Drosophila melanogaster: one gene and its partner. The protein of the gene in region 1 interacts with the protein of each later gene in a pairwise test. Each region holds a gene or a part of one and is shown on either strand. Other genes may lie near its edges.

Region 1 (4,609 bases):
AATTCAAATAGGTGTTGTCAAGGACTGAACATGCAATGTACTAGGAAAATAGATTGTTACGAAAGTAACACTGACTAAAAAAAATATATAATATTTCGCTTAGATACAATTATAACAGAATTAGAGAAAAAAACAGTTTTACCACGGCGGATTTGTAGGCTTCTATGACATAGAAATAATTGCAGACCAACACACTTTGTAAAAATCAATACGAACAAATTTCAAAGTCGCATAGGAAATGGCCATAAATTGTTGATTGGATCGATTCAATTGAGAACGAGGACGATTCGGTTAGGGAACCTACGTGCATCGAACATTCGGGAATCAATACGACAACTTTAAGAAACTTGCCAGAACAAATTTCACTCATATTAAATTTCGCCAGAGAGGAGATAATTGTATCAGATTTATTTCAGAGGCGCCGTGCTTGACAACACATTATTTTCTTTGATCTTGCTGTTTAAGCAAGAAAATGCTATATGAATCATAAATGTATCTTATGTGTGTAGAAACATATGTGGAAAGTTTTTTTTTCGCAGCAAGTTGATCAAGTGAGATCATTTTATTGCATTGAGCTGTAATTTAATTGAACCGAACGGAAGGCGACAATGAAATGCAACGAATAAATTAGTGTACACGAAGTTAAGTAAAATATATGTACATATGTATGTAGAAGAAACCGACCCACTAAATGTGTGCTAACAACATACATACTTAAATCGTAAGAAATGTACTGCAAATAAGGTAAATACCCTTTATTATTGGTAAGCAGTGTTCTTGAACAACTCGCACTACATTTTATTGAAACAGTTGTTAGTTATTTGTAATTACTGGCAATTAACTTACAAAAGGGCTAAGTTATTCAAGTGCTTTGTTGTGAAAATTCCCTACCTGCTATTATTAAGACCATCGTAAGAATTCAGGATTTCAAGCCGTTTCCAATCGACTTCGATCAGCAATTTGTTGGCCACTCAAACGAGAAGCGTGCAAGTTGAAGTTGAAACATTAAACAGATCTTCTCTAGAGGCTCTCACTTAGGAAACCCCCTGTGCTCGAAAAGCAAAACCAGTTTAGCACCGGTCAATAAATTTCAGCTCAAGATTTTTGCAACTTGTTTTTTTGTTCGCCAAACAAAACAAACCGAAAACCAAGGCTCAGAGATTGAGTTTGACCCACATTTAATCACTTTGAAACACAATTAAATAAATAATATAGAATAGTCGGAATATCAAATAAGAATCATATTCATTGGTCCCATTAGGTAATGCCGCAAAATAAATCCCCATGCTAAGTTCAGACACATTTTGCGCGTATTATACGAAAGAATATATCGAAATAAACATTTCAGATCTGCGTCTGCAATTGTTTTTCCTTTTGCGTCATTCCATGTCACGTGTGGGGGCGGGGCCCACAAAAAAAGATGTATTTTCTTCAAGGTAATATGGAGATTATAAGCCAAAATGTGAGTAAACATTTGTTCGAGAGCCAAAGTGCTAGGCGATTCTAAAAATATACGTAAAGTACTTTGAATTCTAATGCAGACATTCATCTGCTTTTGGAATTTGAACTTCAAATGCATAGTACTCAAATGATCGTTGGACTCTCTGTTTTGAAAAATGGGGTGACATTTGTGAAACAAAACGCATAATGAATTTATCAGCTTTATCTAGTTCCATTTCATTCATTACTGAAACAGGGTTTTACTATTTTACGCTGGGTCTATTAATCAGATAGAGGTGCCAACAATAAATAGTGAATAACAATAATTATAATATCTATAAATCTACAACGAAATTCCTCGCCTGATCATTTCAAGCAGCTTCTGTCTAAATATTCTCTGCACTTTCTAGGTTCCATAAAGTCTGTTTGCAATCCTCGCGCTTCTGGAAATTCCAGAATCAACGTTATCACACGTTTATAACTCTGCTCTTCAATAAAAAGACGAATTGTGACGGATTCTTAAAAAAGTTAAGCGCTTTTAAGCCTTTCCACTAATTGCCTTGAGAAACCTGGGGCATGCTAATTATTTTGCTGAATCTGAATAATTTTGTACATATTGTTATCTTTCGGTGTCGTCATTCAGTTTTTCGGTCAGGTGGTTGTCCACACACGAGAGAGATAATGCATACATATAATACATATAATACATATGGGGAGAATGTGGGGGAAGAAAGCGGTGTCACTTCCGAAGATTTGCACAAAAGTGCGCTGCTTCAGTTAGATAACAGATGGGGAAATGGAGATATCATACCAGCAGAATAATAAAAAACTGGTCATGGGTTGTTAAGTGGGTGTGTAAACAGTATGACGACACTTTATAGATTGAGCACTCAAACAAGCTGCTCAATAAGAGAGCAAAATGATTGGAAGTGTTTTTATATAAGTACTTATTTTCTAGGGAGTGGAATATATCTCCAAAGTCGGGAACAGAAGCACTTCGGCTAAGGAGCACAATAGCAGCACATGTGATCTCAAAATCATTTTAAAATTGATAAAACACTTGGTTTTGGACTTTGTTTACATAACACTCTCTTACCTAACCCGATTGCCACGCGCTACTCAAACTCGAAACCAGGTTTTCAGTCGGATCTTAACAGTTCGTCGCGAAAAGTCCTAGGGGCTTGCCGGGCATTAAGGCAGGTTCTCAAGGTCAACGAAAAGCAATTAACCGGAAAAGACGAAATGCCGCCACGTTCCCAAATTTCTAGCTGCAAACCACTTATCACTAATCACCTGCCTAATCACAAGTAATTACCGCTTTCTCAAAATCAAACTTACCATTTTTGTAGTTTCGGTCGCCATGGTTGGGGATCTATATGGTATAGATACTATTGGTATATCTGAAGAATTGATCACGCCGTTTCTCTTTCAGCACAACCGTAAGCGATTATTTCATAATTTCCACCACCGCGCCGAAAAATAACATATATATATATATATATTCGTTGGCTAGACCACTTTTTATGAATATGTTGCTTTGCGTTCGACGACTAATATGCGAATGCTACCAAAACTCAAAACCAAACCCAAACGATTTTCTTTCGCATTCTCCTCTCTCTCTCTCTCTCACTCGCTCTCTCTCTCTTTTAAGCCCTGGACATGGAAAATATCTGATAAGTTGTCGTTGTCTCTGTGGGCAAATACAAATACTTTAATACGCTAAGAGACACATTTAAACTTGTTTTTGCTGTGCATGCTTCTTTGTAGGGGCGTATTTACTATATTCTACACAGGTATATCTACATATCGTTCGTACACTTAAAGTATTTTTTACCTAGTTGACCTTTATGGTAAATTAAAATATTCGGAAGGGTTACTTTAATATTTTTATATAAATATTTTTAAAAGTGCTCTTTATTTAAGCCATGTTAATACTTTGATACTTTGTAATTTTAACAGGCAGTCAAAAACCCTTTTCAAACAATTTTTGGTATACTCCGCATGTAATTGAAATTTATTTTACGTTTGTCAAATGTAGAACAACGCGATATATACATACTCTGGCCTTGAAATTTAATTAAATGTTGTTTGAATATGCTTTGTAGTTCCTATAGTCTCTTTGACTCACCGTGCAAATTGCTAATGCATTTTTCGAGACCGGTGTAACTTGGCATTTCATTAATTTAGGATTATGTTGTCGATACAGACTGTTCTATTTAGCATAAGTCAGCGACTCATGCCCATGTTGATGAATTTTAATATGTGAGTATGAAAAGCCTTTTCCAAAGACTCAAAACGGAACACTCAGCTGGCAAAGGGTGTATGTTGATGTTCCTTCAGCGTTTTGTGGTTGTCTGAAATTAAATTTCTTTTTATATCAAAGTGCAAAAATAGCTTAAAAAGTCGATCTTACCTGTCATTTTCACTGATGAGAAGTGGGTTCCGGTGATCTGCCAGGACCAGGAGATATACTGAGTCTGGCTATAAAATATATGATATAATTCAAAACGACCCCAGCATTACTCCGTATGGAAGTTAAAGAATGCAGTTTTAAGTAACGAAAAATAGCCACCACACATTTAGAAATGTTTTGATTTATTTTATATTGTTATCTTTATTGCCACTATGTTTCTATATTTCCAACGAATTTTAAATGTCTTATATTATAGGAACTCGAGCTCCTCTAGTTTTGAATGTCTGTCTTACTTTTCCTTTTTTCACTCCTCTCTTCAGGATTTGAATAAATTATGATGGTCTTCCTAATAAAAATCCATAAGTTGAAAAATTTTAATGTTTTCAAATATAAAGAATACAAACTGACTTTAAAGAAGATACAGTCTTATTGAAAAAAAATTAAGTTGCCTTACTTTTCTCTTGCTCTTACTTTCTCACTTCTCTGATCACTTCCGATCGAAATTTTCGATGGCATAAAGCGTGTTTATGCTAGATATTTTTTTTGCACGCCGTGGTACCTGAAGAAATACATTCTGAGTGCATGAATCATGTGTCTAAACTCAAATCTTTACCTAAACTATCACTGTTAATTTGTGATTAATTCTTGGCAGAATCAGGATCAATTGTAATGGGGAAAACGAAATCTTTCATTTTTTTCCGCATTCCTAGTCTGATGCCAGTGCAACTAAAACTTCTGCGATCTGAGATCTCGACG
Region 2 (3,691 bases), on another chromosome or scaffold:
AGCGTGCCCGAGCGAGAGGTGTGTGATATATGATATAGAGACGCAAACACCGTCAATTGTTTGATTGATAACGAAAACAGTTTCTTGTTCCCGCTCCTGATTCGACTTCCATATCGGGATCGGGCACCCGAGTTCCTCTTTGCGCTCGCCATTCGCTCTAATTATTTCGTGATTCCTCATTAATTGGTGTTTTTGGGCGTGACATGTGATGGGTAGATAGACAGTTCACCATCGGTTTCCGCACGAGCACCACGCACTCAATAAACAATTATTTGAATATTATTAATCCTACAAAATGCTGGTCTATATGGGTACCAAACGGCATTTTGATTATCTTTGATTGTGCTTTAATGGGGCAGTTATGTTTTGTTTTATTATTAGGCCTGGCTAGTACAAAGCGGCTAGAAGTTAAATATATTTTCACATACTCATCATTTAAAAACAAAAGTGTGCTTATGAGATTATGTTTACCATCCGTCTAATGAGAAACTTCTATACTTCACTGAATAATCATTGCTCAGTTACAAGCATATTTTATTCTTAAAATTCGTGCATTAGTATTTTATTGAAAGCAGTACATTTTATATGTCATGGTATTACAAATTTTCTTTCCCAGAGAACGTTAGGAATCACTTTAGCAATAGTATTCTTTATATATATATAATGTATAGCGAACTAGCACTGGAAGGCCCCTCGATTGTTCAACCATTTGAGAATGGCGCTAACGTGCTTCTTATATCGGGCATTGGAGTACATAGCCAACTTTAGACCATCGCCATTATCCGTCTCGGTGACGAAATCGGTCAGATTTGCATCTTCAGTCCGATCGAGCAGCACTGGTGGGCAGAGAATAAAAGCAATGTGATACCCTACGATTGGAAAAGAAATCAGAACTTGGTTATCTACAGCTTTGCAGAGCGAGGTTTCCACTTACCAACTCGTCCATATTTCAATAGCTGAGTATGGAGGAACCCCAACGTGGGGGTTTTTGCTTCGGGGTAGTTCAGCATTCTCAAGTGCTCGACCAGGTGATCGTGGTAGTACTTGATGAAGTAATCGAACTGACTCAATTGGATTTCGAATTTCGTCGAGCCCAGGAGGAAATAGATCAGATCATATGCCACGCTCGTGACCTTGGGCAGTTGGAGATCCACGAAATATGTCTCGATCGGTTCGGGCGACTCGTCCTCGTACTTAAACATGATGTTGCTGGTCCAGCAATCTCCATGATTCAGAGCATTGAAGTCCTGCGGATCGGGCGTGTTCATAGCATACATAAGGTCGACGATTTTAGGTTGCATCTTGTGCTGTACAAATAGATTATTTTGTGATGAACCGTGCAACCAATTGGTGCATATAGCTAAAGAAACATACAACCGCCGCACTGTACTCCTCGTAACCCTCGTAGAGTGGCAGGCACTTGAGGAAATACTTGCCCAAGGTTTCAGCCACCTGTTCGATGCTCTCCTTCATGGTATCGGCGTACGTGGGTTGCAAGTAGTTCTGGGGGTACGGACCCTTGAGATGGATCCTGGTGGCCGATACCGCATGCCACTGGGCCATCTTCTTTAGAACACACTTGGTGTGAACCATGTCTAGGCCCTCCAGGCGATCGACGTTCCTGAAACCCAAAGGACCCAGATCCTGCAGAAGTACGTAATCATCGGGCGCGTCGATTTCATAAGCCTTGGCCCCAAACTTGACCTCCACGCCCACATCCTTGTACATCTGTTCCAGCTCGGGAATCACCTGAATGAACACATCCCTCTCCACAGCAAACATGTTGTTCTTCCTCAGAATCTCGCGATACATCTCGAAATCATAGGGAGTCTTCAGCATATAGCTCACATTTTCGATTGTGTGATCTGATGATGGAAATTTCTGCTTGACTTTCCATTGTTCACCTGTGACTCACACTCACCCTGCAGTTCGACTTCAAGCTTGAGGCGCAGCATAATTGTGGAGTAGTTTTCTCCCGGCTTGAGCCCGGCTTCCGGCTTGAAACTTTTGATTCCGGCATAATTGCCGCCGTAACGTTTACTTAGCAATTCTTCGAATAGATTTGCTCTCAGCCAGGTGGGCATAGGCGCTGTTCCTGTCTCAGCCGTCATTCTAAGCAAACTAAGAGTTTATTTGCCGGCTGGTCCCGTACAAACATGTGAGCAAAACTTTTTTTCTCTGTATCTTTGTTTGCTACCAAAACAAATGCCAATACGAAAGCTCCAAAAGCTTGTCGGAAAACAAAGAGAGTGCTGGATATGGAGAGTTCTCAAAACAACTTGTTTTCAAAGTCTCGAGTGATACATACATATAGACCAAAACAAACGTGGGGGGATGCATTTATACCCATATAGAAGCTTGTCTGTCATATAAGTGTAAGTATTTAAAGACAATAAAAATAATTGTATGACCATAAAAAAAAATGCTTATAACTATACTTATAGTTATATTTACCTATATGTAAACTCCGGAACAAGTTTTTTATTAACCACAATGTTTGTTAAACACTAGTTAGGTCTTTATTAGATATTACACAATATGCTACTTCTACTATACTGTATATATAAACCTTGAGTGTAATTTTTTCGTTATACGCCATACGATTTAATATTGTGCATTCTAAGTATCTATTCCATAGCTCCGCGATGCTGAAGCCATGGCAATAGAACCTCCATATGTTTGCGAAATCTGGGATTAATGTATAGCGAGTTCTTAAAGCTACAGTCGTCATCACCAAGAACCTTATCAAAATCGGCTCCGTCCACGGGATCCAGGAGGACATATGCCAATATAGTTGCGGTGCAGATGAACGCTGAAATGTTTTTTTTTATAAGATCTGAACTAATGATTAAGTAACGATTGAAAACTTACACCATCCACTGTATTTGTTGAGAGCGTCGTTAATTCTTCTTAAAGTGGGAAGAGTTTTCGAATATCCAAGCAATTTCAGATGCTTTACCAATTCGGAGTGGTAAAACCATATGAAGTAATCAAACTTTGATGTTTTTATGTCCAAGCTTGTAGAGGACAAAAGAAAGTAGTATAGATCCTGGGTCACTGATCCCCACTTAGGGACTTGCAGATCGACAAAGTAGGTATCCTGTATCTCGCCTTTCGTATTGTACTGGGACATAATGTTGTTGGCCCAACCATCGCCATGGTTTAACGCAATAAATTCATCAGGACTCGGATTGTTGAGGCTCTCCACAATTTCGAATGTCTTGCCGGAGACAATGCGCTGTAATTAATGATAAGATAGAAGACTTGAAGATACGAATATCAAAAGATAAATTACCCACCAGATCATTTAGATAAGTTTCGTAACCCTTGCACAGATGGACGTTATCCAGAAAAACTTTTATGCTCCGATTAATAAAGGCATCTACGATTTCCTCGTTCCTTAAAAAACCCTTTGTGTACTTCTCCTGATAAGGACCCTTTGTTTCTACGCGAACGGCAGAGGCCGCATGCCATTGGGCAAATTTCTTGAGAACACATTCGGTGTGAGCCTGGTCCATGCCTTCGAGGCGATCTATGTTCCCGAATCCACGTGGCCGAAGATCCTCCAGCAGGACGTAGTAGTCGCTGGCCTCTATGTCGTAGAGTTCAGCTCCAAATTTGACCTCCAATCCCACATCGCGATACAGTTGCTCCAGCTCGGGCACTACTTCCACATACATTCCTCGCTCCA

The links.
Region 2: the proteins of Indy (region 1) and CG10559 interact in a two-hybrid assay, tested with the Drosophila melanogaster proteins (one large-scale study listed by BioGRID).

Annotation. Positions count from the first base shown.
Region 1 is NT_037436.4:18,843,258-18,847,866, forward strand, and holds the start of Indy (I'm not dead yet), read right to left. Parts: upstream 3,011-4,609; 5' UTR 2,803-3,010; coding exon 2,779-2,802; intron 1-2,778. UniProt on the Drosophila melanogaster protein: Cation-independent electroneutral transporter (not associated with membrane depolarization) of a variety of tricarboxylic and dicarboxylic acid-cycle intermediates. There is also small, but detectable, transport of monocarboxylics.
Region 2 is NT_033777.3:25,313,994-25,317,684, forward strand, and holds CG10559 (uncharacterized protein), read right to left. Parts: upstream 2,124-3,691; 5' UTR 2,112-2,123; coding exon 1,922-2,111; intron 1,866-1,921; coding exon 1,375-1,865; intron 1,308-1,374; coding exon 935-1,307; intron 870-934; coding exon 676-869; 3' UTR 501-675; downstream 1-500. Other genes in the region: CG10553 (uncharacterized protein), read right to left, coding at 2,628-2,812, 2,872-3,238, 3,300-3,691.